Linked DNA regions of Arabidopsis thaliana. The protein of the gene in region 1 interacts with the protein of each later gene in a pairwise test. Each region holds a gene or a part of one and is shown in the gene's direction. Other genes may lie near its edges. The genes, in order: AT2G25520, CYP94B3 and AT1G21790.

Region 1 (10,871 bases):
TTTGATAAACTCGCGAGCTTCTTCTTTACTAGTTGGTTATTCTCTAATAACACCTTTGTACACAACAACAGTATCTGCAGTAATCAATAGAGTTGGTTGAGAATCTTGTGTAAACTGGTTTTCACCTCCTAATTTCAATATAATCTCATTTGCTTTTGCTTCAGCAATAGTCACAACCAAATCTTCAGGCTTCTCTTTCCTAATAGCTTTCTCATCAATATCTGCAGTTACAATAGTGAAATCATATCCCATTTCAGCCAGAATCTGCTTTCTCGCCATCGACTGAGAACCTAGAATCAGCTTATATCCGTTCTCCATCGCCTTCTTTGCCATTCTCGTGTTGTACTGTAAGCGGAAAGAGTAAAGAAGAAAAATCAACAAACAAAAAGAAGATTGAACAAAGAATGTTGCCATCTTGTAACTTCAAAATTTTGTATAGCGTACATTATCCAACAACAAGATGTCACATACTATAATTATATTGTCATCATAATATAGAATGCTAATTAATCAATAGAGAACAATAGATTACTCTTATCTGTCAGCAGAACAATATCATTTCTAATAACCATTAACTGTCTGTAATTAATGGTATTCTGTTTCTCCTATTAGCTATTACACCAAACCTGGCACACAGTGGACAAGTCCTCTCCATGGTAGTCTAAGAGAAAGATTATAAACCTTGAGGCCATAAACAAAGAAAGTAGAAAATTTTCCATGGGCTATCAGATAAATTACTAGCAAAAGCTTCCACTAAAACCATCACACTTGGCTAAAAGCTAAAATGTTAACGTTTGACACATCTACAGATTTTGATAAGTGTAGTCCTAAATTGTTCGTTGATTTCATACGTATAAACACAATAGAAGAAACACGTTTCTTCCAGAAGAAGTAAGAAAACTCTAAATATGCAAACTACACAAGGAACAGAACAATCAGAAAAGCAAAAACAAAATGCATTTACAGTGAAGAAATTAATATGTGAAGATTCCATTAGACGCGTCAATGGACAAACAGTTCATGATGCTAATTGTACATATATATGATATATCAATGATCCAATAAAAACTGCTGAGGCAAAACTCTAGGAACAGAGAATTAGGGTTTTGAGATTCAGCAGATTCAAACTCACCAAAAGAGATTCCTTAATTATAGGTAAACATACGATTTTCGAATGTAGAAGAAGATTGATACGAGGGAATGAAGCTGGAACGAGAGCTGGAGAGAAAACAACAGATGGCTGTAATTTTGCCTCCTCAAGTTTCCTGGTGTTCGGCCTCGTTTGCCGATTAGTTTGGTTTGGCCCATTTCTTTATTTCGGTTATCATCTGTATTTGGGCCTTAGCCTTTGTTTTTGTATTCATTAAAAATCAAAACGAATAATAAGTCTAATATTAAAAAAGGTTATTATTATTTTAGATATCATAATAATTTAATACATAATCACAAACAAATATTATTTTATAATATAACACGTAAATACAAAAATTTGTTAAAAATGAGTTCTCTGCAATATCGGGTTCTTAACCCAGTATAATTAGTAATACAAATATGAAAATAAGGAATATAAAATGATCTTTTAAAATCATATGGCGAATTGGCTATTGAAGACTTTTCACCAAATAATACAACAAAAACTTCGAGACTCATAAAATAAGTGATCCAACTAAGTCGTCGATGACTATAAGCTTTTAAGTCTCTCGCTAGACTGTCCACAGATTTCTTCATCTTCTTTGTCTCTTAGCCTTTCTATATTATCCACCATATCTTTAAATTTCTTTTATAATTTGCTGTATAGCCTATATAAATGCATAACCATGAGTGACACTAATAAGCAAAATAAGAGGGAATATTAAGATGACATCTACTATGGTTCTATTCCTCCTTCTTCTTCTTGTGTTTCCGCATATGGATAAAGCCCTAGGCGCACACGAGGAATCCCAGAAACAAGGTTAGTCTTTTGGTATTTTAGATGTTCCGAGGTCATTAGTATCATTTTACGTTATTAATTAGTTGTGTTTAATCCTGATTTTGGTTTGAATTTTGGAATTTCTCCTCATTTGAATAGACAAATGAGCACAAAGATGATCAAACATTGACACTGTAATATATAATGTAATGCTTTTCGGGTGGTGTAGGTGCAGAAAAGACTTACCATGATGCACGCTTTACTATTCCTATTAAGCCAAAATATATTCCTAAGGTTATACGCCCTACGCCAAAAGATCCGCCTATTCCGGAATGTCTTCGAAAAGGCACATGTAGTCGTCTTCATTTATCTCCTCCTCCGCCCCAGAGGTCTTTCAAAGGCACAAACGAACCTGGTCATTGACCTCAATCTAGCTTCGAATGCGTGTGTGTGTGCATGTTTCTTACATTGTGGTTTGGTTTGTGGCTTCTGTCTTTGTTTACCTATGCATGTGTTTGTCATATTTTATAGTTTGTCGAACGGCCGCTATAATAAATAAAACTTGTATTTCCTTTTGTGTTATAAAACGCCTCTTAATTACTTACGTTGGATCGTTTAAACTCAGACATGCTAAACCACAAAGGCCATTATCCTATATATAAAAGATGTGGTGTCTCTCGAGCGATGACACACATCACCATAATTAAATCATGCATTAACTCTTTCTTCTATGAAAATAACATGTTTCCATTTATTAATTAATTTATTTAGATTTAATTTAGTTACAAAAGTATATCAAACACATAAATTTAGATCAAAAACCCAAGGACACTGATCTAACTTGTTTTTTAGGTTTTAAAATTTTGGACGTAAGTTTCAAATAAAACATTGGATTGGGATTTAGGTTTATAATCCACTCGCAATGACATATGAGCATTTTTTAAAAAGGGGTGGTTCAGTCTCGATCGGTCCAAATAGACAGGTTTTGATATTTCGGAGGGCTGAAACAATTTTTTTTTAAACAGGATTTATTTGATTAATTATAAAAATTATAAATATTATTTTGTTATAGCTAAAAAAACAAAGTTGGGATTTTAAAAAAAATATCATCTTCTTAACACTTTTATATATGTATATTATAAGATAAAGGTTAAAATATAAGATATTTGTTGGTGCAGTAGAAAGAAAAAAAAAATGTGCAAATAAAATTAATTTTTGTTTTTTTAGAGAAATGATTATTGGTAAGTAAATAAATTAATACTCTTATTTTGGGCCTTTCGGGACTTATTTTTTTACTATTCGAGGGTCCTAAGTCATTTGGCTGCCGACCTGCTAAATATGGGAAAGGATCCTCCCTTCTTATTTCTCATCATACTAATCTCATAAGATATAAAATTTACTCACTCAATGATTTGTGTCCATATATACTAAGTTGTTTGCAATTTAGACTTATTCAAAGTATTCACGAAATACGAACTCATAATGTCGAAAAGTAAAAATCAAAATATTGATAATGCTAGACAACATAAATCAACACATGGCTACCAACAAAAAAAAAAAAGACCTATATGGATATTATTAAAAAATAACAAATATATTGTGTCACGACAAATAATTTCAATACATACATACAATTTAACAAAGTTGCATTAAAAAAAAAACCCAGTGGTTTGGCGCGAGTTTCGCCCTAGTATACCTAATTTGTATAGCATCTAAGTAAATTTTCCTTATTAATATGAAAATTTTGACAAAAAAAAAAACAGAGGGCTATAATTTTGGGCATATTAATTACTAATTTTGGTCATTATTAATATTTTTGGAAAAAATTTTATCCAACATAGGATAGTTTATATAGCCAAAGTATTTTGTTTATTTTCAAAATCTTTTTTTTTTTTTTTTCAAAATCTCATTAATATAAAACTCAAATAAAGTTATATAAACTGACAATATTAATTGTTAACAGTAAAAAAGAAAAGAAAAATGGAAGAACCGCACATAACAAGTTAGAAACACTAAAAAATATATGTACAGATCATTCATTTTGTCACAAAACTGAACAACATGTGGTTCATATAATTTTTTTATATTTAAATATAAGAAACAAGCTTTTGTTAATAAAATGACGAATGGAGAAGAAGAATATACGGTTCCTCCACATTAGCAATAGAACCATACTGTCTCCACTCTTCCATTGAAGGTAAAAAAATGTAATGGGCTCTCTCTCTAAAGAACGGTTTTTCTGGCAGAGTTCCGTCTAAGTTTCCAGTTGAATCCGGCTTTGGTATCTGGCTTATGACACGACTAATTCAGTATCTTATTTTTGTTATTTATATGAATAATGTCCACGGTTTTAATTATGGGGATGCCACTTTATACGGTGATTCGTTTAGGTGAAGGTTTTACTTCTGCTTGTACTATTGGGTCCGCGGTTGATAAATACTATCAGATATGATTGCATACTTGCATGTAACTGATAAAAATAATATTTGTTACTTTACGTATTTTGAATTACCAATTAGCCTGTATTTCAAGTAACCAGAACTACTAGTTACTAAGCAAGCAGTTGTGCACTTATTAGATCATAATAATAATAAGTACTCAATAACTAAAATCACCTTAAAACGGAAATTAAAAAAATGATCGACTTTGATGTTATCATATCCGCCACTTTTGTTTCGTTCTCTCGGGCTGAATCGTTTGTTTCGTTCTCTCTATCGTTACTAGCTCTCTGTTTCTTGTTTTGTCTCTATTCATTAACTTTGCTTCCCTTATTAGTAATTATAATTTATAAATTCTAAATGATGTCTCTGTAAAAGAGAAACAAAGTAGATAAATATTAAGGGAGAAATGTAAATGTAACTGCATAATCGGTTTGCTACAAACTTATTTTTCCCTCCTAAAATGTTTCTTTTCTTTCTTTGCAAAAGATTCATTCGCTATATGCCTGTATTGGTTAAACATTAGTAGAAGTATTTTTGCAATTGGCGTGCAGAACATGGGAAGTTAGTAGCTACTTTATATATGGCCACATGACTTCCTCGCACGTCACGTAATCGGTGAAATGCTGTCCATGTGACAGTCAGACTCTTCGTAAAACAAATGTTCCGAAAGTAGTAACTACGGATAATTTATTTATTTTTGCAAACGTTACTGTAGTTACAAAATAAATAATGTTCCTTTGTAACTTTGGCGTGGGATTTCCAAAAAGTCTCTTGTCACATGAAACGGTTTTGAAAAATTTATAATCTCACTTTGAATTTGGTATATGTATTCAGACGAATGATAAGATACCAAATTATTTTAGTCGTTTTAATTTATAGATTTATTACTAACTTTTTTTTTTGTAAATTTAAACTTTCAGATTAGGCAACACCAAATAAATGATATATTTAATAGAAAATGTATGGTCGAAAAAAAATATTGTAATGTCTCTACACCAGAAGCTTTTGTTTTGACTTTTGAGTGTTTGAATCATTTGAAGTTTTGAACAGAATAATTCCACAATCAAAACCAAATAATATTTTATCAGGCGAGCGAAAGACAAGATTTTGACAGGTATTTGTACAAGTACTGAGTCGGTCAACAAACCCCGTCTGGACTCTGGACCCGAAGTAACCCAACAAACGTTGCGACAACTACATTAGCACCACCACCAAGGCACCAATAATGCAACGTAAGAGGGACGCAGCAAAACTGTCGCGATGTGAGATTCACGCGCTCTAATTTAAACGTTGACTCTTTGTTTCATCGTTACTCTCTCCCATTTATTTACTTCGCATACTCTCTTCGTTACAAGTTTCCATTTAATTACTCTTAAGTCTCTAACTAATAGCTTTAGGGATTCGTCATTAATTTAAGGCAACGTAAACTTAAAGAGTTTCGACTAAAAGCCGTTTCAGGAAACATACATCATCACATACTTTATCTAAATAACTGGCTTATTAATTTTATAACAAAAATGACGTTATTTAGTGTTAAGATATACAAATATTTAATTTTTACTAAATTAGTTAAGGTAAAATTGTGTTCCTTTCTGTGAGTTTTCCGCAATATTAAAAAACCCTAGAGAAATTAACAAAACGTAATTGACTAAAAAAAGAGTTCAAAACAAAACATTTGTTACATTTATTTCATAATTTAAAGACTAAGTATAAATCCACTAGAAAACAGATGATTAAAAATGCGGGTCCCACAATACGCCAATCGTCAAATAATCGCGCACCTTTTCGCCACGTAGCATAACAAAGTCACGTAAGCCCTTCCTCTACATTACAAGACCAAACTCAAAGTCTCTTTCTCCCCCAAACCCAAAAACATTGACCCAAAGAGAGAGAGACTTCTATCGTGCGCACCTCTCTCTCTTAATCCTTTATCCTGCGCACCACCACCACCATCTTCTTCTCCGGCGAAAACAAACCCACCGCCATGGGGAAAGGTCGTGCACTTTCCGACGGAGTGATCAAAAAGATCATCCTTTCATACACCTATGTCGCAATCTGGATCTTCCTCAGCTTCACAGTCATCGTCTACAACAAATACATCCTCGACAAGAAGATGTATAATTGGCCATTCCCAATAACTCTCACCATGATCCACATGGGTTTTTGCTCTTCCTTAGCTGTGATTCTCATCAAAGTCTTCAAAGTCGTCGAGCCTGTTTCAATGTCACGCGAGACTTATCTCAGATCCGTCGTACCAATCGGCGCGTTGTACTCACTTTCTCTCTGGTTATCAAACTCTGCTTACATCTACCTCTCTGTTTCCTTCATTCAAATGCTCAAAGCCCTAATGCCTGTAGCAGTTTACTCAATCGGGGTTTTGTTGAAGAAAGAGACTTTCAAATCTCAGACTATGACTAACATGCTTTCGATCTCGTTTGGTGTTGCTATTGCTGCTTATGGTGAAGCTAAGTTTGATGGTTGGGGTGTTTTTCTTCAGCTTGGTGCTGTTGCTTTTGAAGCCACTAGGTTGGTTTTGATTCAGATCTTGCTTACTTCTAAAGGAATCAATCTAAATCCAATCACTTCTCTCTATTACGTTGCTCCTTGTTGTTTGGTTTTCCTCTCTGTTCCTTGGATCTTTGTGGAGTTTCCAGTTCTTAGAGATACTTCGAGTTTCCATTTCGATTTCGTGATCTTTGGAACCAATTCTGTTTGTGCGTTTGCTTTGAATCTTGCTGTGTTCTTGCTCGTTGGGAAAACCTCTGCTTTGACTATGAATGTGGCTGGTGTGGTTAAGGATTGGCTCTTGATTGCATTCTCGTGGTCGGTGATTAAGGACACGGTCACACCTATCAATCTGTTTGGTTATGGACTTGCCTTTTTGGGTGTTGGATATTACAATCACTGCAAGTTACAGGCGTTGAAGGCTAAAGATGCACAGAAGAAGGTTCAGGCAAGTGATGACGAAGCTGGGAAGCTTTTGGAAGAGAGGGAAAGTGAAGCTAAACGCAACGAAACCCAAGATTGATCTGTTCTGATTCAAGAATGCAATTTCAGGAAATAAGAGCTTCAAGGTTAGAATGATTTGGGAAGATGGATTTTGCATTTTCATAGGTATGATTATCATTGTCGGTGTTCGTTCGTCTACGTTTTAGTTTTGCGATTATATTTTTAAGTTATGGCTGATTATATTACATAGTGATGGATGGGTGTTTAATTAGAGGTTCATGAATCTTTTGAACTCCATTGTATCTTCTTCTTTTGAGTTGTATTTTGTTTCTTACTTCCTCATGAATCTATCTTTGTGGGTAACAATTGTTTTAGTAGTACTTCTTTATATTTTTTCCCTCCATTGAGATTGTTAAATGTCAAATTGAAAGTCCCTTTTACGTCTCTCTTTATCCAATGAAACCGTTGTATGTTGGAAGGCACAAGAAGATGGTCAACACCAAAAACTTTTTGATATTTTATGGGTTATGTAGGATCATTTAGTAGCAAGATCCACAATTTAAGGAAATAAACAAAATACCCATACCGACGTTCCCTTGCAATAATATGACACATGACACCATCATATGAATACAATGGTCTCATTTAACCTCTACAAATATCCTTCCTTTAGTCTCAACAAGTTTCTGTCCTGAGTAAAGGGACAGGCCAAATAGGTGTTAGATACCAAACTAAAAACATTCAAACAGGCTCACGGGTTATGGATTTCTCATCAGCGAATATTTGGGAACTTTTAACACAATTCGGATCTACTCTCGCTTGGCATAAAAGCTGTTTTGTTCCAGAACAGAATTCATAAGCATGCATTGGTGCTTGGTTTGTCACTTTGTGAAATGTGACTTTGAATAGCCATCCTACCTCTTGGCAGAATTGTTTTTGGATTTGGGTTATATCCTATCAAATTCCAAAACTTAACAAACCAGTTTTGTTTGATTTCAACTGGAATCTTATAACTAGCTCATAGTTCCTACATATCTTTTTTTTGTTTGAATCTACTACATATCAGGCAGTAGTATTCTAGACTCGGACGAAACTTTATTAGTCCAAATTAGGCTGCACCAAACGAAATGCAGATACATCATACATGTCACGGACCGGACCACATCGGGTTTGGCAGATTTGGCATCCTAGTTTTGACATCTCTACCAAACCCACTAAAGAAATCTACACGGACACTAATAAGCCAAATCAGCAATACGACAAACGGTCCATATTCCACCACGTGGCTCTCTTATAGTTCGTCACGTCGACACCTATTAATACCGTTCTAAATTCTTCTCCGGAACAGTAGCTAAACCGTGATCGTAAAGCTAGTCTCCAGAGAAGAAACCACAATCGGAGTCTGAAGCAACAAATTATGCCTAATGTTTCTCAGATCTCTACTGTTCTACGTCTAGCGTTTTCTTGTAAAAGAAGACTCTCCAATGGCTTACACTTCGTTGCTCGTTCCTATTCCACCTCTGATCCTCCCAAACAACCATCAGGTACTTTCAGAATCTTCAATTCGTTGAGAATTATGCAATTGAGATTAATGTCGCTCCTTTATCAGGTCCACTGACGAATTACTCTAAGTTAGTGGAGCAAGGGAGGTTACAACATGATCCATACCAAGAGAAAGTTGTTTCGGCATTCGAAAATTTGTTTGGAAGATTGGAACATTTCGAGAAGCAAATGGAGGATTATCATGTAAATTGCAAATAGTGTAACAATTTGGTTCAATTGTTTGCATATAGATGTGTAACATTTCGGTGTTTAGGTGAGATTAGCAGAGTGGGAGAAGAAGAGAGAGGAGGAACGAAGAAAGCTAATGGTGGAAGAAGCTGAGAAGAAGGAAGATGATGGAATGTGGGCATCTGTGAATAAGCAGGGACAAAAGCTTTTGGGAAGATGGGTATTAGGGTGAGGTTTTTGTCAATGGCTTCTTTTTTTAGTTGAATATTTGTTTGTTAGTTTTTTCAAATGGTTTTGTTTTCTTTCGTGTGTTTTAGGCGGAGACAGATGAATGTAGAACCTGGAGTTGGTAAATGGGTATCGTACCTTAACCGAGAGAGAAAATTGGACTCGATTGTCGGTTCTCGTCCCGCGGTACCACCAGCTCCAAAAGGATTATATATCTATGGAAATGTAGGATGTGGTATGTTAATGGATGCTACATTATGATCTTACCGTGTAGCTAATATGGTTAGGTATTTAAGACAATGTTTGGTGTGTTTTCATGTAGGCAAGACTATGTTGATGGATATGTTTTATGGTGCTACTGATGGGATCATTAGACATAGACAACGGTTTCACTTTCATGAGGTGAGTGAGCCTTTAGCGGTTCTTCTTTCAAATTAATTCAAACTCAATATATTTTCCATTTCTTTCTTTGTAGGCTATGCTGAAGATAAATGAACAAATGCACAAGTATTGGAAGGAGAATGGTGCTGAGAAGCCAATGCAATATAGCATTTCGAGCTGGATTATGAATCTTCCTGTTGATGAAAAAGTTAAGGAATGGCTAGCAGGAGAAGAATTTTATAAGCAGCAACTCCAAATGAAACACATTCTTCCAGCTGTGGCTGATAAGTTTCTCGTTGATCAGCAATCGAGTAAAAAAGGAGCTAGCATCCTCTGCTTTGATGAGATTCAGGTAACTGTATATATGGAATTAGAAAAGAAACTATAGCATATAATTCATTCTTCTAAGCATATATATTGATTATGAGATAGTTATTAAGTGATAAAAACTAGGCTCGCTAATTGCTTATCACTCAAAAAGTCATAAAGCCAATTCAGTGTTCTACGAGGGCTTAGATGAGACTGGACTTGCTTAGTTTTGGTCTCATATGCCATTGCAAATAGTGTTCAATCTTCCCATAACTTGGAATTTCTTGCATCTTCTGTTACAGACAGTTGATGTATTTGCTATTGTGGCCTTATCTGGAATTATGAGCAGATTGTTGACTACTGGAACTGTTCTTGTGGCCACCAGTAACCGAGCACCACGGGAGTTGAATCAGGTTTCCTTTTCTTTTCCTCGTTAAGCCCTCTTCTATTTTCAGCAAAGAGGTCTCTTTAACTGATTTCATGAAGGACATGTATATTGATTACACAGAGTTTTTGCGCTGAGCCACTAATTTTCTTGCTAATGTTGTTGGTACAGGACGGAATGCAGAAGGAGATATTTGATAAGTTTATCTCTAAATTGGAGAAACATTGTGAAATAATCTCAATTGGAAGTGAAGTAGATTACCGCCGAGTTGCAGCAAAAAATTCGGCTGAAAATGTGTGAATCACAGACTCTTTACATCGTTTAATGTTGTGTTCTTTTTTGCTTCTGTTGACGAAATTTTAAACGTCCATTTATAGGTTCACTACTTATGGCCTTTGAATGATGCTGTTCTGGAAGAATTTGAGAAAATGTGGCGTCAGGTCACTGACCAGTACGGTGGAGAAATAACTTCGGCGACTCTCCCAGTGATGTTTGGAAGGTACTAATGATAGCAATGGTTTTTCTTTTTTGATGGGTT
Region 2 (10,871 bases), on another chromosome or scaffold:
AGACTTGGCCATATGAGTTTAAACAACATGAAGATACTGGCTGGAAAGGGACTGCTACAAAAGAACGATGTCAAAGAACTAGAGTTCTGTGAGCACTGTGTAATGGGAAAATCCAAGAAGCTTAGCTTCAATGTCAGCAAGCACATCACAGAGGAAGCTCTAGGATACGTTCATGCAGACCTATGGGGCTCTCCAAATGTAACTCCATCACTCTTAGGTATGAAATATTTTCTGTCTATTGTTGATGGTAAGACAAGAAAGGTTTGGCTTATGTTTCTTAAATCTAAAGATGAGACATTTGACCGTTTTTGTGAGTGGAAAGAACTTGTTGAAACACAGGTGTGAAAGAAGGTTAAAGTGCTCAGGACAGATAATGGATTGGAGTTTTGTAATTCCAAATTTGAAGATTACCTCAAGAAGTTTGGTATTGAAAGGCACAGGACATGTGCTTATACCCCTCAGCAGAACGGTGTAGCAGAGAGAATGAACAGAACTCTTATGGAAAAAGTGAGATGTCTTTTGAGTGAATCAGGTCTTGAAGAAATATTCTGGGCTGAAGCTGCTTCAACTGTTGCATATCTGGTGAACAGGTCACCTGCTTTTGCAGTGGATCACAATGTACCTGAAGAGTTGTGGTTAAACAGGAAATCTGGGTACAAGCATTTAAGGAGGTTTGGGTCAGTTGCTTATGTACACCAAGATCAAGGAAAGCTTAAACCAAGAGCTTTAAAAGGTGTGTTCCTCGGTTATCCGCAAGGCACTAAGGGATACAAGATCTGGCTCTTAGAAGAAATGAAATGTGTTATCAGTCGAAATGTGATATTTCATGAGGACTTGGTGTATAAGGATTTGCAGTTAAAAGAGAAGTCTGAACAAGAAGAAAGAGCAGAGAAGATTACTCAAGCAGAAAAGACTGTCTCTGAAATAGTAAGTAACCAACAGCAGGTTGGTGAGAGTTCTGTTGCAGGTGGAACAGTTGATGTTTCATCTAGTGATGATGAGTCAGAGTATTTTGAACCCGAAGGAGAAGCTCCAGCAAGCAGTGAAAGACTGAGCAATTATCAGTTAGCTAGAGATCGGGTTAGAAGGCAAATCAGAGCACCTATAAGATTCTCTGATTACTCTCAATTTGCATATGCTCTTATGGCAGCTGAAGATATGGACAGCAGTGAAGAACCTAGCTGTTATCATGAAGCTAAAGAAACCAAAGAGTGGGAAAAATGGAATGCAGGAATGGGAGATGAAATGCAGTCACTATTGAAAAACTATACATGGGATATAGTAGACCATCCCAAGAATCAGAAAATCATCAGTTGTAGATGGCTGTACAAGAAGAAACCAGGAATTCCCGGTGTGGAACCTGAAAGATACAAAGCCAGACTAGTAGCAAGAGGCTTTACTCAGAGAAAAGGAATCGACTATGATGAAGTGTTTGCACCTGTAGTCAAGCATGTGTCGATAAGAATCTTGATGTCTATTGTTGTTCAAGAAGATCTAGAATTGGAACAAATGGATGTTAAGACTGCGTTCTTGCATGGTGATCTGGACCAGCCACTTTACATGGAGCAACCTGAAGGGTATGTTGCTGATGAACAAAAGGATCAAGTGTGCTTGTTAAAAAAGTCACTCTATGGGTTAAAACAAGCACCACGTCAGTGGAACAAGAAGTTTAACTCTTTTATCATGGATCAGAACTTTATCAGAAGTGGTCATGATTCGTGTGTTTACATAAAACAGGTGAGTGATGAAGAGTTTGTGTATATACTGATATACGTTGATGACATGTTGATAGCAGCTAAGTCAATGACTGAAATCAACAAGATCAAAGAGGCGTTGAGTACAGGATTTGAAATGAAGGATATGGGTGCAGCTAGTCGAATACTGGGAATCGACATTATAAGAGACAGAAAAGCAGGTACATTGCGGTTGTCTCAGACAGGATACTTAGAGAAAGTGCTTCACATGTTTAATATGACTGAAGCAAGACCTGTAAGCACACCTATGGGAGCACATTTCAAACTTGCCTCAGTAGTTGAGGAAGAAGAGTGTGTGGACACTGATAAAGTTCCAAACTCAAGTGCTATTGGCAGCATCATGTATGCCATGGTTGGCACCAGACCAGATATAGCTCAAGCTATTGGAGTTCTAAGCAGGTTTATGAGCAAACCAGGTAAGATTCATTGGACTGCAGTGAAATGGTTGCTAAGATACTTAAAAGGGTCTACAGATTTGAATCTGGTTTTCACCAGAGAAAAGGATTTCAGAGTTCAAGGCTTTAGTGACTCTGACTATGCAGCAGACCTTGACAGGAGGCGTTCAACAACAGGTTATGTATTCACTGTTGGTGGAAATACAGTAAGTTGGAAGTCAAATCTGCAGAGCATAGTGGCTTTATCAACCACTGAAGCAGAGTATGTTGCTTTAACTGAAGCAGTGAAAGAAGCTTTGTGGATTCAGGGGTTGTTAACAGAAATGGGATTCAAGCAAGAGAAGGTTACTTTGTGGTGTGACTCACAGTCAGCAATCAGTTTGGCAAAGAACAACACGTTCCATGAAAGAACTAAACATATTGCGATCAAGTTCAACTTTATCAGGGATGTGATTGAAGAAGGAAGTGTTGAAGTTCTTAAGATCCATACTTCTCAGAATCCTGCAGACATGCTTACCAAAGGCATTCATGTGCAGAAGTTTGAGTCAGCTTTAGAGTTTCTAAAGCTACTCAGGTGAGGTGGAAAGACATCTCAGCCGAAGGTGAAATCCAAGTAAGTGCAAGTCCACTAGTTATGGAGAGATTTGAATCAAGGTGGAGTGTTGTTGGTTTATATCTGATTCAAACTCTGAAGTTGGTTTGGTTAAGTCAATTGAAGATTGAAGCAGTCGGTTATCTCTGGTTAAGGGATTTCTGATTAAACCGGAAATTAAAGAAGAGAAGTCAAAGACTCTAACTGCAGTGGAGGGTTTGACTATTATACAAAGAGTAACAGAGTCTGTTACGATTATCATCTTCTTCATCTGTTTTCTTCTTTGAAGTTTTCTTGTATCGAGAGAGAGAGAACTTGAGAGAATCACCATTGTTGTAAGCTCGGTTTTAGTTGTACTCTTCATAAAGCTTAGTGGATTTGCCGAATTGATTCGGCTCCGGATGTAGGCTTGATCACACCGATCTTGCTGAACCGGGTAAACAAATCGTGTGTCTTTATTCTTCGTTTTCTGTTCTCTGATCTTGCATAAGTTGAGATCGATCATTCGCAACATCATTTCGATCGTTCTTAACGCTGAATTGAATCTAATCGGAGCTCAATTTCGTAAGAAGTTGTTATTGAACTTGAAACATTTCATTAAACTTGCAAAAGAAAAAGTGAGAAGACGTGAGAAGAGGTGAAGCAAAAGATCGTTTACCATAAGAAAGGAAAGAAGAAGAAGCTAATAGAGTTCATGTCGAGAGGAAGAAGATAACTCAACAACAACAACAACAAGAAACAAGTCATGGATTGAGGCTAAAAGGCTATGTGAAGTTTTTTTGCTTCTGCCTTTCTTTGCTTTTCATTTGGCTTACAATTGATATTGAACATGATGTAAGTATATGCTAAAACGAATTTTATTTTATCATGTTAGTTTTAGAACAAGGTAATTAGTTATTACACCGACTCTATTAGACTTTAATAAATTTCTCATGCATTCTAGATTGTGATTGATCACAAAAATTGTTTTCTACACTGCTTTGGCGTCTATTGATCAAATAAGTTATGAAATTTCTCATCCACTTACAATAAAATTTTCAAAAAAAAAAATAGAAACCTTTATTTGTCAAAATTATCATAGAAATCTGGTATAACTATTACATTACAACATCAACAACGAAATGTTGTATACATCTGGAAAAATATCTCTTGTATAACCCACGAGTTCTTTGGACGGTGAAGTCATGAAGACAAAAAACGGTTGTTCCTTTTCTTAAGTCATTTTTTTTGCGTGCTACCAATCAATTATGTTGGCTCATATAATTTATAGAACGGCGCCGTTATTTTTGTTCAATTCCGTAATTATTTTGTGTGCGAGCAAGAAAAGACGGTATCGACAACGTGAGTGGCTGAAATCAAGTTCATCTTTCTTTCGTCTCATATAAAACTGACTTTACTGGTTAAATTCAAGCCTAAAGAAACACGTGCACAATTGAATAGCTCTTGTTCGAGTGGGAACAGTTTTGTCAGGCTCTTGCTAGTATTTGTTTTCTTCTTTTCAATGTTTACTTTTCTACATTTCGCCTCCAGATTTATTTGACACCCGACCATTTTATCAAAAGTATAATCGCTTAATTATTTTTAAGACATTAGAATAGTGATTATTAACACATATTGTAAGCCGGAGCGAAATTCATGTTTTCAAGCTACCATTCAAATTTCAACTATACCATTAATACATGTATTATATTCTAGAAACCACGGTTCGATTCAAATTTTGACCTAACAAATATTAATATAATGTTTGGATGTTTCGTAATATTGTAACCATTAATGGAGATGTCGTATATCATTTGAGTTTTTTTGTTAACCATTCAAAGTACACTATAATTAATTTAGTTACTTTAATATAGGTCTATTTTCCTTGCGTCATAGTCTCTATCGTGGTTTTGTCGGAGATATGCCACGTTCTAAAACTTTGGACTTCTGCGTCGCCAAAGCGTTTGCAACACGTCAAATTAGGAAACACAAAAGCGGCTTAGATAGCAAACGAGCGATAAATAAAGGGTCAAGTAAGCCAAACAATATGTAATAAACGAATAAATTAATTAAAAGAAATGTTTGATGTCCTATTAATTTTATAAATTCTTTTTTTTTGTTTTTTTTTTAATTTTATAAATTCCTTATACACAAATGTGGTTTTTTCAGGAAAGTTGTTCAATGTGCTTATTACAATATTAATCATTTGATGATACATACTCACAGTTACACTAACAGTTCAATATCCTGATGGAGCTTATCACTAAAAGAGAAAATCTATACTACAGTATTAGGAACTCGAAACAATATCGTCATCCTAAAAGAGACAAAATAGCCTGACTAAACATTTATATTTTCGTTAGGACAATTCTCAAAAAAAGATACTATATATTAGACTAAAAAAAGGAATGAAACAGTGACATACAGCTACACTAAAGACAAAAAAGGAGATAAAATAATATCTCCGTAGACACATAATAGTATAATACCGTGTTACGTCGATCAAAATGTGATATAAGAAATCAAATTAATACTAAAAGCGATATGTTTCGGGACAGATTGGTCCGGACCCGCCACCTTTCCCTTTCTATATACACACACGCAATACCCACCAAGAACACACACAAACACTTAATTAGCAATATAAAAAGCACATTCACAAACTCTTTCCAACACACCAACACAAAAAAAAAACCAAGAACAAAAAACAATTAAACAATATGGCATTTCTTCTGAGTTTTTTGATACTAGCGTTTCTTATAACCATCATCTTCTTTTTATCTTCATCTTCAACTAAAAAAGTCCAAGAAAACACCACATATGGACCACCATCGTATCCACTCATTGGCTCCATACTCTCTTTCAACAAAAACCGTCATCGTCTTCTTCAATGGTACACCGAGCTTCTCCGTCTCTCTCCGTCTCAAACCATCTTAGTTCCTCTCCTCGGCAACCGTCGCACCATCATCACAACAAACCCATTAAACGTCGAGTACATTCTCAAAACAAACTTCTTTAACTTCCCTAAAGGTAAACCTTTTACTGATCTTCTTGGTGATCTTCTCGGTGGAGGCATATTCAATGTCGACGGTCACTCATGGAGCTCGCAGCGCAAACTCGCTAGCCACGAGTTCTCCACTCGCTCGCTTAGGAGTTTTGCTTTTGAGGTTCTTAAAGACGAAGTGGAGAACCGTCTAGTCCCGGTTTTATCCACGGCGGCTGATGTTGGTACGACCGTGGATTTGCAAGATGTTTTGAAACGTTTTGCTTTTGATGTTGTTTGTAAAGTCTCGTTGGGTTGGGATCCGGATTGTTTGGATCTAACCCGACCCGTTAATCCACTTGTGGAGGCTTTTGACACCGCTGCTGAGATTAGTGCTCGCCGTGCCACGGAGCCTATTTACGCTGTTTGGAAAACGAAGCGTGTGTTGAACGTGGGAAGCGAGAGGAAGCTTAGGGAAGCGATCAGGACCGTGCACGTGTTGGTCTCTGAGATTGTCAGAGCTAAGAAGAAGAGTCTTGAGATCGGAACCGGAGCAGAAGCAAAGCAAGATCTTTTGTCGAGGTTTCTAGCCGCCGGCCACAACGGCGAAGCAGTGAGGGACATGGTTATTAGTTTTATCATGGCGGGAAGAGATACAACGTCAGCAGCGATGACGTGGCTGTTTTGGTTGTTGACTGAGAACGATGACGTGGAGCGGAAGATTTTAGAAGAAGTGGACCCGTTGGTGAGTTTAGGGTTAGGGTTTGAGGATTTGAAAGAGATGGCTTACACGAAGGCTTGTCTATGTGAAGCCATGAGGCTATATCCTCCAGTTTCGTGGGACTCTAAACATGCTGCAAACGACGACGTTTTGCCTGATGGGACACGTGTCAAGAGAGGAGACAAAGTGACCTATTTCCCATACGGTATGGGGAGGATGGAGACGCTATGGGGTACGGATTCAGAAGAGTTTAACCCGAACCGGTGGTTTGATTCTGAACCGGGGAGTACACGACCGGTTTTGAAACCTATTAGTCCCTACAAATTTCCGGTTTTTCAAGCCGGGCCGAGGGTTTGTGTAGGGAAAGAGATGGCATTTATGCAGATGAAATACGTCGTTGGTTCTGTTTTGAGTCGGTTTGAGATTGTGCCGGTTAACAAAGACCGGCCGGTTTTTGTTCCTCTTTTAACGGCTCATATGGCTGGTGGGCTTAAGGTGAAGATCAAGAGAAGAAGTCACATCCTTAACAACGTTTAATAGAATATGTAAAAACGAGTTATTTATATATAGAATATCAGTGTGGCAATACTCCTGCCTGCGAAATCAATCTGTATAAATTTGTAAAACATACCAAAACCGAATATAATCAGGTAAGTTTTGGTTCAATTCCTTGAAACATAATTTTTTGCATCGAGTTAGAAATAGAGCTTGTAGTCTTGCCGCTGACCCAAACGAAACCAAATTGGATTGAGCAAACCGAAAATAACCAAATAAGCCCAAAAATCAATAATCTAGTTAGGAACTGGCCATGTAGATGTTGAAGCTAAATGAAATGTGAACAGTGAGAACCAAACCAATGAGAATGTCTATAATGTCAATTCTTTTGCATTGTTGTAGACATGTAGCTTATTCTTAGTTGTAAACATTTGTTAATAAAGTAAACAAAGCGAATGTATTGCAGCATCCGACCTTAGCTCAGTTGGTAGAGCGGAAGACTGTAGTCTGTGACAGCAAATCTTTAGGTCGCTGGTTCGATTCCGGCAGGTCGGATTTTTTGTTTTTTGTGGGATTAACAATATTTAGCCCAACATATAAAGCCCAAGACTATACAGAGACCACAATACAATTCTAATTATAACCCAAATAAACCCTTCAAGGTAGTATAAATAATTATACGCATCTTACTTCAAAAATCTCATCACTCTCTCATTCTCCACAATTTTATTAGTTCACAGAGTTAATCTCACTCTGTAGAATCAACCTAACTTACAAAGGCACACACCGATCGCTTAGATGTCAAGTTGTCAACAATTTTCAGCGAGCAATGATCTATCTTTATATTTTTAAAAGAGAAGAACATTTGAACATTGTCCAAAATCAGTCATTTATTTATTTTAATTGTCATTAGTTATGGGTAAAAATTGTTTAATTATAATTAGAATATATTAGTTTATAGTTAAAATAGTTAATATCAAAATCATTTGTTTAAGGAAATACTAAATTTTTATTTCTCCATTGGTTTTAAAAAAATATATATATATATATTTTTTATTAATTAGAAAAAATATTTTCTTTAATTAATTAGAAACATTTCAAAGATTTTATTAAAATGTTTCGTCTCATCTTTGTATGATCATATTTCGAAAACAGTAGAAAATACATAATTCAAATAACAAATAAAAAGTCTAGATTGTTTTCGCACAATAATTTGAAAACTCTTATATAAGCTTTTGAATTATTGCTCCAACTGCTAATCTGCTATATCAAAACCCAGCAATTGTTTCTATAAATTATAAGCTAAATTCATAAATTTTAAAATACAACAAATTTTATATGACTTCCATAAACTATTGAATAAAAAACAGGGGATGTAATTTATTATAAACTATTTTAAGTGAATTATATGTTCAATAACACCAGATTGGGAAGACATTTGCAAATAATAAATTGAGTAACAGAATTTTGTTAAAAAAAATAAAAGTCTTCAAAAATCATCACTCCAATACATTTTCCTTAGTATTATACTATCATTACCTAGGTGAGTAGGTTCATTTAAAATTTTCAATAACCAAAATTTGCCAATTGTGCTAGTAATTTTTCTCAATCTTCATTAGGACCGCCATTGTATATAACCACATAATTTGTGGATATGTCTGTGTGTAAAAGTAAGCCTATCAAACGGCCGGTAACCTTTATTAGTTTTGAGAGTAGAACATCAAATAAAAAACAAATGGAGAAGTGGTCTAGTCATGGCTACTTTGGTATAATTGGAGTAAAAGACATCTATCTAGTAGTGCTATTGTCCTACAGGGGACACTAGCTTGGTGACTCATCCTAGTTCTACCAACCAGATTACAGTCCTCACACGTGGCTCAAACAACTTCGTCATTTTTCCAAGTTAGGATTCTTGGTTTTGGGACTTTTACGGCCTTCAAGACGAACCTAATTCTTCTATTCTCACAAATTCTTTAAACCCTAATAAATATCTTATTTCGGGTTGGCTAGTTTTCATTGGTCGAACATGTCTGCTTTTGTTCTCTTGAGTTCACTTGTGATTACTAAATGACGATCTCCATTGGTTTCATTAGTTAATAATCAATTAATTTGCGGATGATAGTACTATAGTAGTATTTGTTACGAAAACTGTTGGCGACGCGAACTGTGTACTACTATTACTGTATCGGATACTAATTAATTATACAATTAGGTATCAAAGCAGCAGGTGAGATTATAGAACGTAATCAATGTTTTCTTTCCTATGTAATCAATATCTTTGAAAAATGAAAAGCATATGTTATTTCTTTTATATTCTAAAGATAAGAGATTGTCCGCTTTCTACTTTTAGAAAGTAAATCGTTCGTTTGGTTGTTCTAATCACTATTATTAGAGACTTCTCTAAAGGGAAACCCTCCAGGCTCCAATTATCACGTATAAAATAATATCTATATCATGTACTATATATAGATAGAACAAATGTTAATTATTGTAGTAATTTAGGCTTGTATCTACTTTTTATTCATTATACAAGAGGAGTGACGTAAATCTTGGTCAATTCATATTATACCTTTGGAATCCTCCACTTATCGTATTATAAGTTATGCATAAATTATATGTAATCTTATTATGTACATTACATACACCATTCCGATTATGGAAGCACATCTCAACTTTTTAACCTTTTCCCTGAATTTCATGTGAGAGTTACGTGTATCTTTATATTCAAGTTCAAGTAAGTCACTTGGCAGTTGGCACGGTCCAGAGATACGATAATATGAAAATAATGTTCTTGTATAAAACTAAAGGTAATTGGTTGGTATAAACATTGCAATTGACGAGGCTCATGTACACAGTACACAATTAATCGATACTCAAATAATATTGTTTATTATTCAGTATTTAGGAGTTTATTTACGTTTTCCTGAAACAAGAAAGATAAATGAGTTATAATTAGCTTTTGTTGGTGTAATTTAGATTTAATTAATTACTGTTTTATAAGAACTTTGATCCGTATAATTTGGTTTTCAAAACTTTCCTCCTCGCATATAAAAGATAACATTGCTTCCTTACATTTTAGAACTATCTTGAAGTTAATCTTGAAGTGCGAATATAATATTAGATGGCCCTCAGAACAACTGTCTTCATCGGAAGATCAACTCAATATTAATTATAAGAATCGAATCATATTTTATTAATTGAACTGATAAGATTTGTGAAACTTATCTTATGAACATACCAAATATTCAAATTGCGTAGGTAGGTACTAGGTATTGTGGCAACCTATATGAGACGTGCCACGTGTTCCAGACGGCATATTAAAAGAGGGTGAACATTTTTGTTACTATATTTTATACAAGTAACTACCAAGCCTTGCCCACCAATCAATGAATCACTTTTTTTCTTTTTCTTCCCAAACATAGTAATTATATTATATATTTGAAATGGCTAATCAGTCCAAAAAATCAAGACGTACAAAGAAAAAATTAAACTTCTAAGTCTAACACTATATGATCCAAACAATTTACTAATTAAATTATTATAAACATGAAAACTGAAAAATAGTTTTTTTTGCTAAACTAGACTGAAAAAATAGTTGTAAACGGAAAAAAGAAAACATTGGATACCCAAAAACAAATCTAGTGATGTTGAAAACACATACCATTTCCAATAAGAAGTCATCTTGATCAGTCCATGCTGTTTATCTCAAAGCAGAAGCAATGCAACTATTGATCGTGAATGCAAATATATATGGTCCACGACTCATATTTGAATGAAATGTTAATTCCACATATTAAACCGTACGAAATGATATTATTATTTTATTTTTTAAAGATATTAAAATCTTTTTGAACTACAATTCCAAATGTTGATTCCAAAACTCCACTGAAAAAAACAATTAAGATCATTCTAGCTAACCATATTAAACCTAATGATATTTAATTTTGTTTTT
Region 3 (10,871 bases), on another chromosome or scaffold:
GGACGAAGTTGCTGTGTCGTACCAAAGCGACTCAAGTGTAGTCATCGCTAAGCTAGTAAGTCCTTTCTCTTTCTTCACATTTGAGAGTATTTGTTCTTGATCACCGGATTCTTACTCTTTCACTTGTCCAGGATGCAACCGCAAACGACTTCCCAAAAGATACCTTTGATGTGAAGGGATTCCCGACCATTTACTTCAAATCAGCGAGCGGAAACGTTGTGGTTTACGAAGGAGACAGGACAAAGGAAGATTTCATAAGCTTCGTCGACAAGAACAAGGACACAGTTGGAGAGCCTAAGAAGGAGGAAGAGACAACTGAGGAAGTCAAGGATGAGCTCTGAAAAGAGAAGTGTGTTGTGTCTCTTAGCTGCTAGCTTAGTTTGGTAGTTTTGAGGAAAATACACAGAAGAAGACAGAGCATTGAGTAGACTGAGAGACAGAGAGAGAGAGACGACAGACAGACAGAGAGAATCTCTTTATCTATTCATTAGGTTTTTATATGTGCACTCTTCAGAACAATAATGGCTGCCTCCTTTTCTTTTTTTTGGTTGATGTTACCTTTTTTTGTTTGAATTCAGTTCTCCTTTAATATAGTTTTTGAGGCATTTCTTGGGACGAGTTCTAACACTAAAAATATATTAATTCTGAAGCATATACCAAGATAATATACTAGTTGACTCTTAATTGGTTCCACTATTTGAAAAGAAAACAAAAGGCTAATTTGGTTGTTGAGGAAAGTATGAGAGAAAGGAAACTCAAGCAGATCGTCGAGGAGATCAAACGTTACTTTTACTGTCCAAGCGTTTATCAACATTTACAATTTTATTGACTTGTTCAACATGCTTGTTCCTTTTTTGGTCCTAATACTTTCAGTTTTTTCACTAAACAATCTAATGGAAGAACGAGAAACAGTTAAACTAAACCAATTGGTTAAAGATATTGAAACCGACCTTGAACTGATTTAACTCAGAAATGTCGGTTTCGTTGTTTGTCTGAATTTTGTGAACCTCGAGAAAACAATAAAATAATATTAAAAAAAAGACAGAGAAAGAGTCTCTGTTTCTATCTTCTTCTTTTTTTTTCCCGGTAACAGGGAGCTCGCACGGGCGGCTACGAAATCGCTGTATTTTCAAATCGTCTCTCAGTTTCCATGACTTCAGGTATTGCAATCTTGGATTCAATTTTATTAATTTTGACGAATTGAATCAGATCAATACATGACACCGAGAACAGATCAATTTTGAGAAATTTTCTCTGTTGATTAAACTTTCTCTATATTTTCATTCAAAAATCATTATGATGGGAACCGTTTGGCTTTGAGTATCCTTCGAAACTCGTATGATTGGAGGTGAAAATAATTTAGAGATTGATCTGGTAGTCTCGTGAATGTGTTCAATTACAAAATTGAGAAACGAAAGGTTTTTAATTTATTCATATTGAACTTGTATTGATGCTATCACTGAGTTTCAAGGTGAAATTGTGAGCTATTTATTGATTCTTTTGTGAAAGAAAGAAACTTGATTTCATTGGTGCTTGTTTGTCACAGATGCTCTCACTATACCATCTGAGCTTGAATCTGCCTTGCGGCTCAGGACTGTACAATACTTTATTACAAAAAGGCCTTGGCTTGGTACATCTCTAATCATTTAACACTCATTCTCTTGTCTGTTTTCATCTTATCAAGAATTGGGTTTATGGTTTGTAATGAGTTACATTTTACAGATCTTTATGGAGTCCATGTGAGGCCTGTGCCACCATTCGGAAGTACAAGCCGTAAACCTCATTTTGATCCAGCTTTGATTCATCGTTGCTTGCCTGATGAGCTTCTTTTCGAGGTTGGAGCTTTCTTTATACTATGTTTTGTCATTGTACTGAAATTTGTTTTTCTTATGTACTGGAGAAGTTGATTCTTGGATATGTTACTTGTAGGTGTTTGCTCGGATGATGCCTTATGACTTAGGTAGAGCATCTTGTGTTTGTAGAAAGTGGAGGTACACAGTTCGAAACCCTATGTTCTGGCGTAATGCCTGCTTGAAAGCTTGGCAGACTGCTGGGGTTATCGAAAACTATAAGATCTTGCAGTCTAAATATGATGGATCATGGAGGAAAATGTGGCTTCTTAGATCCAGAGTTCGTACTGATGGTAATCTTTCTTTCTTCATCCTCTTGCTTCACGACATTCTAGCGCCAAGTGATTGTTTTCTTTTGTATGCTCTGACTAACATCGTGTCTTGTTATATCTTTATTGATTAAAGTAACTATGTATCTTCTTCTCAGGTCTTTATGTGAGTAGGAATACTTACATTCGAGCTGGAATTGCTGAGTGGAAGATTACAAATCCAGTTCACATTGTAAAGTCTTTGTCTTTTTCTTTCTTTTCTTCTTCATCTGTCCAATACAGACACATATAATAATCTGCGTCTTCTTTTGGAAAATTTGTTGCAGGTTTGTTACTACCGCTACATAAGGTTCTACCCTTCTGGCAGATTTCTTTACAAGGTTTGCACTCTTCGATATAAGTAGGTATAAACGTTGAGCTACTGGTGGGATCTAGTCTGATAATGATCCATCCGTATTTGTTGTTATTCCTTCAGAACTCTTCACAGAAATTGAAGGATGTTGCCAAGTACATGAACTTTAAGGCTTCTAAATCTGAAAATCTTTACAAAGGCACTTATACACTGTCAATGTCGGATGATAAGGTTAGCTCCCTCTACTGCCTTTTGGCTGGTAATCAACAACATTACATCTTCATAATCCTGATTACTGAAAAACATGTTCTTTTTGCAGATCGAAGCAGCTGTTCTGTACCCAGGGACACGCCCTACTGTCTTAAGGATTCGTTTAAGGTACTTCAATCCCTCAAAATATGTGGATAGAGAAGACTTCTTTTTAGTAATAGCATTTAGAACCTTGGTCTGGCATTGGGAAGAAGGCCTGTTACTTATCTTTTAAAGTACCGTGTCTAGTACATTCATCTAAGACTTATCTGATCCGGTGAATGTGATGGGGTTGAAATTTTTAGTAGCTGATAGTCATTTTGATCTTCTTGGTGTGGATATGTTTTCGGGTGTGGTTAGGTTAAGAGGAACAGCTATTGGAGCGAATAACAGGATGGATTTGCTGTCACTTGTGACAAGTGGTGTGAACGATGAGGAAATAAGCAGCACAGAAGAAGACATTCTTGGGTTAGTTGAAGGTTGGGAAGACGATGAAACTCACAACCCGGATATACCTGCCGTCTCACACAAGAGGGGTATGACTGCATTCGTCTTCGTTCCTTTCGAAGAGGTAAGTAAACTATAAATTATTGTATACTCTTCCCACCTATAATCTTAGTTACATTGATTTGATCTGAATATCTTCCTTGATGTTATTAGGTTGACGAATCGGTTCTGAACTTGCCACCGGAGAAAATGGATTACTATGTCACTGGCTAAAGAGACACATCGAAGTTTCTGTACAAAAATGTATCATAGAATAATGTTTTCACGTTATATTTATTGTTACGACAAACATTAGTGTTTGTTTGTTGCTGTCGAATTGTGAAAAACATACATTTTGGGATTTTTGTTTGTTTACAGAGATTACTTGAAACAAGCTTTACTATTGTAAGATAATGTTTTCAAGTTTTTATTATACACCAAAAGGCTTTAAAGCAGGACTTGATCAGATGCTAGACTTGAGGTTCTTGGAATCATCCTCTGAGTGAACCAGACGCTGCCACGTTGGGTTTCGATGAAGAAACGTTTCCTGCAAAACACGACATATTTTCATAAGAATCTGATTCATCTCAATTTTTTGAGGAAAGAAGAGATGTATACGGAAACGTAGGAGCAAGTGGGGATGATGGAGAAAGAGTGTTCAGAGGCGTGTTCGAAAGCGGCGACGCATAGATGCGAAGCTAAACCAAGTCCTGCTTTTGACGGCGGTACGAAGGTTCGAACCAGATCCATGACTTTACCGTCATTCTTCATCTTGTACTCTATGAAGGCTTCGTGATCATCAGTCTCGAATCTATGTCTTCCTTCGTTCCACACGATCTTCGGTTTCTCCGTCGCCGTCCCCGTCGCCATTTTATCTGTTATCTCTCTAAGTCTAAGTCCACTCTCTTTCATTTCAAACCGAGAATTGATTTTAATATATCGTTAGTAAACCGGTTTAATGGATAAAAACGTATAATCGTCGTACACGTGGCAGGCGATGGAGGCGGCAGAGTGTTTTGCTTGCTTCGTCGTGTTATTTGGCGTGAAGTAAAGAGTTCAGAGAGAAAAGGAAGTCAAAACTTCAGAGAGAAAGTGGATGGGGGACACGAAGGTAGAGACAATCTCGAGGTTAGCTCAATGGAGAATTGAAAATTTTGGTCCTTGTTCTTTCAAAAAGTCCGATCCTTTCAAAGTCGGAATTTGGAATTGGTAAGCTTTTCATTTTTGGTTTATTTTGGTAAATTTTCTTCGGAATTTTGATTTTTGTTTGTTTTGGGATATGATGAAGGCATCTGTCTATAGAGAGGAATCGCTATCTATCAGTGAGGCTATTCCCAGAACTTTCTCGAGTATCTAAAGAGCAACCTCCTGTTGCCAAATTTGTTCTTCGTGTCTCCAACGTTGGCCCCAATCGTAGATTCTACATCTCTCCTGGTATGTCTTGTCTTTGAATTGACTTTTCTGGATTTGGAATTTGAATTCTATTGTCGAGCTCGAATTAGGTATTTCAGGAAAGGGAATTACCTTTTATGTGGGAACTATATTCAATTATGTGGAATCTGAAAGATATTAATTTAGATGTTAATGATTGGCTGATGATTAGTAGTACCTTATGGGATGGTTACAACTGAATTAGGTTTGTTTAAGCTGAGATACTCTGTTTATTTGGTGCAGTTTATGAGAAGCTGCTGCGTACAACTGATGATTGTGTGTGGCATGTTGACTCCAGTTTCCACGGTCGATTCACCATTGATGTTGAGTTTCTTGATCTCAAAATCTGCCCTGTGAATGTAAGCTTAATGATTCTATTTATACTCTCACAATTTCTTCTCTTTGTAACATTTGTACTTCCATGGTTGATCAAATCAAATCATAATCCAGGGTGGTGAAGCTTCTCCTGTTTGGCCAACCGATGCAACAATGCAATCAATCTCTACTCAAACCACTCTCAAATGCTTATCCCGGATGCTAGAGGAAAGCATACTAACCGATGTAATCATCCACACAGCCGATGGAACACTCTCTGCTCACAAAGCTATCCTCTCAGCTAGCTCAACTGTTTTCAAAAGCATGTTCCACCACGACCTCATGGAAAAGGAATCATCCACAATCCACATAGACGACATGTCGAGAGAATCTTGCATGGCTCTACTAAGTTACCTCTACGGAAACATAACCCAAGAAGAGTTCTGGAAACACAGGCTCGCCCTCCTCGGCGCTGCAAACAAGTACGACATAACGGATTTGAAAGCAGCCTGCGAGGAGAGCCTAATGGAAGATATAAACTCGAGTAATGTGCTCGAGAGGCTACAAGAAGCTTGGCTTTATCAGCTGGAGAAACTGAAGAAAGGGTGTTTGATGTATTTGTTTGATTTCGGAAAGATTTATGATGTCAGAGAAGAAATCAGCAGTTTCTTCAGGCAAGCTGATCGAGAACTGATGCTGGAGATGTTTCAAGAGGTTTTGTCTGTGTGGAAACCGGTCTAATATACACTTACACACATACTTTGAACATTTCAGCTTGATGGTGTTTTGTTTATAGTCTTCTTGTTCTCTTCTGTGTGTGTAACTAACAACAACTCTGGATTTTGTTGTATCACTCTGTCTAATGTATAGTATTGAGTGGATTTGCCTCTAGTTTGGTGTACCGAGCCTCTCAAATGGGCCGAGCCTTTCAAATGGGCTGTGACTAGGCCTAATGACTGTCGACATCGAATGTCGGCACAAAATATGATAATTTTGTCGATGTTGAAATCGTACGTTTTTTGTTTTAATTAGATGAGTCAGCATCAGGAGGATGAAGTATCGACCGACACGTGTCCGTTGCGTCCCAAAGTAAAGCTTATAACGTGAAGGCATTTGTATCGTCTCTTCCGCCAAAATTGGAAATGGATATCGAAGTTTGAGCTAAGAATCCAATTTAGGGTTAACTTTGCCGGATTCTCAAGCAATCTCCGAGAGAGACAGTGAGGTTTCGATGGCGAGGAACGGGATTGGGAGTTCAGGAGGGAAGAAGAATGGGGCTGGGCAGTTTTTCTTAGCGACGCTGCTTCTTTGGCTTGTCTCCGTCGTGTTTGAGATTGCTTTCAATCTCCGGACGGAGCTTCTCTGGGTGATTTGCGGTGGATGCTTCTTTCAATTGATGAATTGGGTTGTTCGTTCATGGATTTCTCGTGACCCTATATTTGTTAATACCTCTGTCTCGCTTTTGCACTCAATCATCACCTCCGCATCAGGTCCCTTTCTCTCTTCTCTTATATTTGAGTTCTTACTATAGGATTGTGCTCTGTTAGTGGGGAAATTTTATCATAGGTGTGCACATTGGTCGTTGGTATTAGTCAATTTTCCTTTGGTGCTGTGTTTTCACGGTTTCATTGCTTAATGTGATTCTTATTTCCGATTGGATTAGTCTTATGATTGATTGCCATAGCTTGAGTATAATGCAGTTCTTTCTTCGTTAAGCCTTACTGATTATGATTTTTCATCTTCAACACTGCTCTTGTGTTACTACAGTGGTTTTCATACTTCTCAATCAATGCTTAGCCAAAGGTTTAGACGAGATGTTTGATCATTCTGAGTTGGTTGGTGGGACTTGGAAATGGGCATATCCAGCTTTGTGTTTCTCATGCGGCTACTTTGCATATGACCAGTGGGATATGCTTCAGTACCGGTTATACAGCGGCTTAATACCTTCTATTCTTGTTCACCATCTAGTCCTCCTTGTTTGCTTCACATTGGCACTATACCGAAATGTAACCATCAACTACCTTATTCTTACTCTCATCTGTGAGGTACGTTCCACTTTTTTCTTCCTGAAAACTTGCCCTGGCTTTTCTCTGTTCTTTACCGAATCTATGCTAACATTCTCTAGTTAAACTAGACTAGTTTCATATATAACAATCTAGTTAGATATAGACTCAACTCTACAACATCTACTTGTTCGAACAAAAGTGACACCTCTGTTATTCGGATGTGTAAACAGATGCATTCGATCTTTCTACACGTGAGGAAGCTAAGGAGAATGGCAGGAATCCGAGACAGCAACACAGCATTGGTGAAACTGGAGTGGGTATTAAACTGGACAGCCTTTGTGTTTGCGAGATGCATTCCTCACATTCTCATCACTATCAAGCTGATCAAAGACGCACACAAGTTTGGGAAAGGCGTGGAGTTACCACTCGCTCTGTCTGGTATGGCAGGAATGAACATTCTTAATGTTGGCCTCGGGTTGGATCTGTTTCATGCTTTCAGAAGAGAGAGAAGCCACAGAAGAAACCAAGAGAACGGCAACCTTCACGACCATGGAGAATAATAGCTAATTTAGAGGCAATCCATTACCGAATCTATGGTTTGTTGTTGTATGAATACTACCCACTCATCTCTTGTTTATATCTGAGGCTTTGCTACTAAGTTCTAATAGCTTTCAGATTTGTATGTATCTCTCTATAGGAAAACTACATGTAAATGTTATTTCTTGATGATTACAGTCAACAGACTTTTTTTCTTCTTGTGTTTGGGGAAACGGAACCAAATTAGAATTTTGGTTTGATCTTTGGTTGTGATTTATATATCATAATCATTATATAAAAGTTAATCTTAATGAACTTTGGTTTATTCAGTTAAATTTTGGTATAATCTTTTCAATCTATTAGGAAAGTTTGTTTAGTGTTGAGTTGATGAAGTTTGGTCCGGTTCAGTTTCCACCAATGTTTGGAAGAAAAAAAAATGCAAGAGCATGAGAGGTCCTACCGGGAGTCGAACCCAGGTCGCTGGATTCAAAGTCCAGAGTGCTAACCACTACACCATAGAACCTCAGGTGCTTGTTCTGTTGCATGTACCAGTTTAGAATCTAATCCAAAATATTGTATTTTAGACACGACCAATGAATAGATTCAACATCAGCAGTTCAGCAGCACCACAGATTGCAGTTTTCTTTGTCTTTATCTAACCAAACAAAACAAAAATCAATATTTTACTTGGTGACAATGCATCATATGAGACCATCAAACTGGTGACAGTGAAATAACAAAGATGAATCTCACAAGACATAAACGTTAAGAAGATTACACTATGTAGCAAAAGAAACAAGGGTGATCTTTTTGCTACTAACAAGTCAGAATCTGAAAATTATGGTAAGAAATCCAGCTTAACAACAGATTGATTCTAGCTATACTCCAAGAACGAACCTATTGCTTCTCCTAAATCCCCAAATTTACTGAGTTTCTACTTCGAGTGAAAACCGTGGCAAATCCGTTGCGATTCTTCTCAGAACTCCCTCGGTTTGATGACATAATTAATGACACTGTTGTTGAGTCCGAAGAAGATGAACAAGGAGGTGAGGTCTTGTTATTGCTGTTCTGGATTGCAAGAAACTCAAGTGATCTTCCATTGATTGTTTTGATGCACTCATGAGGATCTTTTCCTAACAAAGCTTCCTTGTTGTGAACTGACCTTGCAGAACCTGGAATGCTAGCTGTATCGATCAAGAATTCTTCTAGTGTTGCAAGAGATTGTAGCTGTTTCCCAAGTGATGCTATTGTTTTCTGACAATCTGCAAATTTTCCTGCAGCTGTTGCTATGTCTTCCTGCAATAGAATCAGCTTTTAGTGAAACAAGGATTAAGAAAAAGAAAAAAAGACTAATTGGTGATCAGAAAAATAAAAAGCTATACCTGTTTGATCTTTGGTTCCACTTTTTCTCTCTTGATCATTGTCTTCTCTTCTATCTCTCTTCTAAGCTCTTCTTCAAATGTCTCACACTTTTCCTTTAGCCCATCAGAGACAATCCTCTCCTTTCTCACCTCTGCTTCCATTCTGGTCACCCGAGATTCGGCTTGTGTTTTCGATTCATTAGCTAGTTTAAGCTCCCTTTTCATCGCTTCCAACTTCATCTCAACTTCTTGAAAACAAACTCTAGATTCTTGATATTGATCTTTAATTACGTCAAAAGATATCTTTAGCTCAGCTTTCTCAGCTTCCATCTTCTCCAACTCATCTTCCATCTCAATTTTGTCACCAACTACAGCTTCGAGTTCTAAGCTGAATCTCTTCTCTGCTTCTTTACAACAAATAACTTCACTGTCAAGCTCATCCTTTTCTGCTTGTAGCTTCTCCAACTTTGTGTCAACTTCTTGAAAACAAACTCTTGACTCTTGATATTTATCTTTGAGCACGTCAAAAGATGTCTTTAGCTCAGCTTTCTCAGCTTCCACCCTCTTTAACATATCTTCCAACTCCATTTTGTCACCAACAACTGCTTCAATCTCTAAGCTCAATCTCTTTTCCGCTTCTCTACAACATTTAACTTCTCTTTCAAGATCATCCTTTTCTGCTTGTATCTTCTCCAACTTCTCCATTAAGCTCAATTCATATCCATCCTTGGAGTTTTTAGCCTGTGTCTCAGTAGGAAGAGCCACAAGACGTTCCATCTCAAGGAAATCATCCATGAGATCAATTTCAGTTGATGAAGTAGTGCCCTGAAGACTTCTATTGCCGCCTTTTTCATTCTTGATTTGATCTAACTCAGAAATAAATGCTGATGATGCCCATGAATCAGAGCAACTCCCCTCAACTCTCTCCCTTCCTCCATCTGAATGACTATCCACAGATTGATTAGATGATAGCGATGATGATGTTTTAGCCAAAATCCTAAGCTTCCTGCACTCAGCTTCGAGTTTCGCCAACTTCTTTATGATGTCTAAATGCTGCTTACTAGCAGTTTCTGCTGCTTGAGTGCTCAAGTCCCTCTCAATCATCACAATCTCAAGGTCTTCACGCTGTGTAAGAAACTCGCGTCTCAGCATCATGTTTTCAGATTTAGCAGCTTCTGCTTCTTTCTGGAGCTCAAGAACTCGCTTCTCTAGACCAGTGTTAGCAGAATGCAACTCCTTGGTGCTCTCAGTCACAGCTGCTTGAATATTCTTCTCTTGTTCATCTCTAAACTGCCTTAGTTGTCTCACACACTCCTTAAGCGCCCCATCAAGATGACTTACCCTATCTTCCAAGACAATGTTCTTATCAGCCGCATCCTCGAGCTTTTGCTTCAGCTCAACCACTTCATTCTCAGCTTTCTCCCACCCTTGAAAAAAAACCACAAGAGAAAATGCTTTCACTATAAAATGCTAACTCCAGAAGCAGGATCAGAAAAGGAGTGACTAATTACCAGCAACAGCATCTTCTGCAACTTTGGCATGTTGTTTCACTAGCTCATCTTTGGAATCCATAACTGGTTCCAATATCAAAGTAGTACCAGTCATCATCAAATCACAAACTTAAGTACCTTAAGAAGAGAAAAATAAAACAAAACCAAACAATTTTTTAGGAACTTTTGAAAACATATGTATAAAAAAAAAGAGGTAACTTGGCTTATCAGCTTTCCCAGATTTTGCTTTCAGGACACTCTGACAACAAATCTTAAGTACTTAACTATATAATGGACTGGACCACAACATTTCCCAGAAGAACACAAAACTGGTAATGATTTTAGCAATCACTTCATAACATGTCATTAAAAAAGAACTACAACAACATCTTTCTGTTTCGTTTCGTGTAATGAACAATTTGTTACAGAACATTAGAAAAAAGAGTTGAGGAGAAAACAAGATTACCAGACTAGAAAACAGTTGCAATATGATATGATTCTTCAAAACCAAGAATAAATAACATG

What was found.
Region 2: the proteins of AT2G25520 (region 1) and CYP94B3 interact in a two-hybrid assay, tested with the Arabidopsis thaliana proteins (one large-scale study listed by BioGRID).
Region 3: the proteins of AT2G25520 (region 1) and AT1G21790 interact in a two-hybrid assay, tested with the Arabidopsis thaliana proteins (one large-scale study listed by BioGRID).

The regions. Positions count from the first base shown.
Region 1 is NC_003071.7:10,854,616-10,865,486, forward strand, and holds AT2G25520 (Drug/metabolite transporter superfamily protein), read left to right. Parts: upstream 1-6,052; 5' UTR 6,053-6,334; coding exon 6,335-7,378; 3' UTR 7,379-7,795; downstream 7,796-10,871. Other genes in the region: AT2G25500 (Inosine triphosphate pyrophosphatase family protein), read right to left, coding at 37-333; AT2G25510 (uncharacterized protein), read left to right, coding at 2,157-2,468; AT2G25530 (AFG1-like ATPase family protein), read left to right, coding at 8,444-8,581, 8,651-8,843, 8,909-9,045, 9,116-9,258, 9,348-9,493, 9,581-9,660, 9,734-9,991, 10,251-10,361 and 2 more.
Region 2 is NC_003074.8:17,971,194-17,982,064, reverse strand, and holds CYP94B3 (cytochrome P450, family 94, subfamily B, polypeptide 3), read left to right. Parts: upstream 1-5,290; 5' UTR 5,291-5,440; coding exon 5,441-6,961; 3' UTR 6,962-7,212; downstream 7,213-10,871. UniProt on the Arabidopsis thaliana protein: Hydroxylase involved in the oxidation of the plant hormone jasmonoyl-L-isoleucine (JA-Ile), a bioactive phytohormone of the jasmonate-mediated signaling pathway. Converts JA-Ile to 12-hydroxy-JA-Ile.
Region 3 is NC_003070.9:7,648,174-7,659,044, forward strand, and holds AT1G21790 (TRAM, LAG1 and CLN8 (TLC) lipid-sensing domain containing protein), read left to right. Parts: upstream 1-5,914; 5' UTR 5,915-6,183; coding exon 6,184-6,442; intron 6,443-6,719; coding exon 6,720-6,997; intron 6,998-7,188; coding exon 7,189-7,518; 3' UTR 7,519-7,808; downstream 7,809-10,871. Other genes in the region: PDIL1-1 (PDI-like 1-1), read left to right, coding at 1-55, 132-341; FBP7 (F-box protein 7), read left to right, coding at 1,339-1,348, 1,547-1,630, 1,723-1,835, 1,930-2,143, 2,278-2,351, 2,446-2,499, 2,595-2,702, 2,791-2,849 and 2 more; AT1G21770 (Acyl-CoA N-acyltransferases (NAT) superfamily protein), read right to left, coding at 3,670-3,753, 3,825-4,076; AT1G21780 (BTB/POZ domain-containing protein), read left to right, coding at 4,303-4,415, 4,495-4,640, 4,881-4,996, 5,088-5,693; AT1G21810 (filament-like protein (DUF869)), read right to left, coding at 8,405-8,791, 8,878-10,283, 10,368-10,464.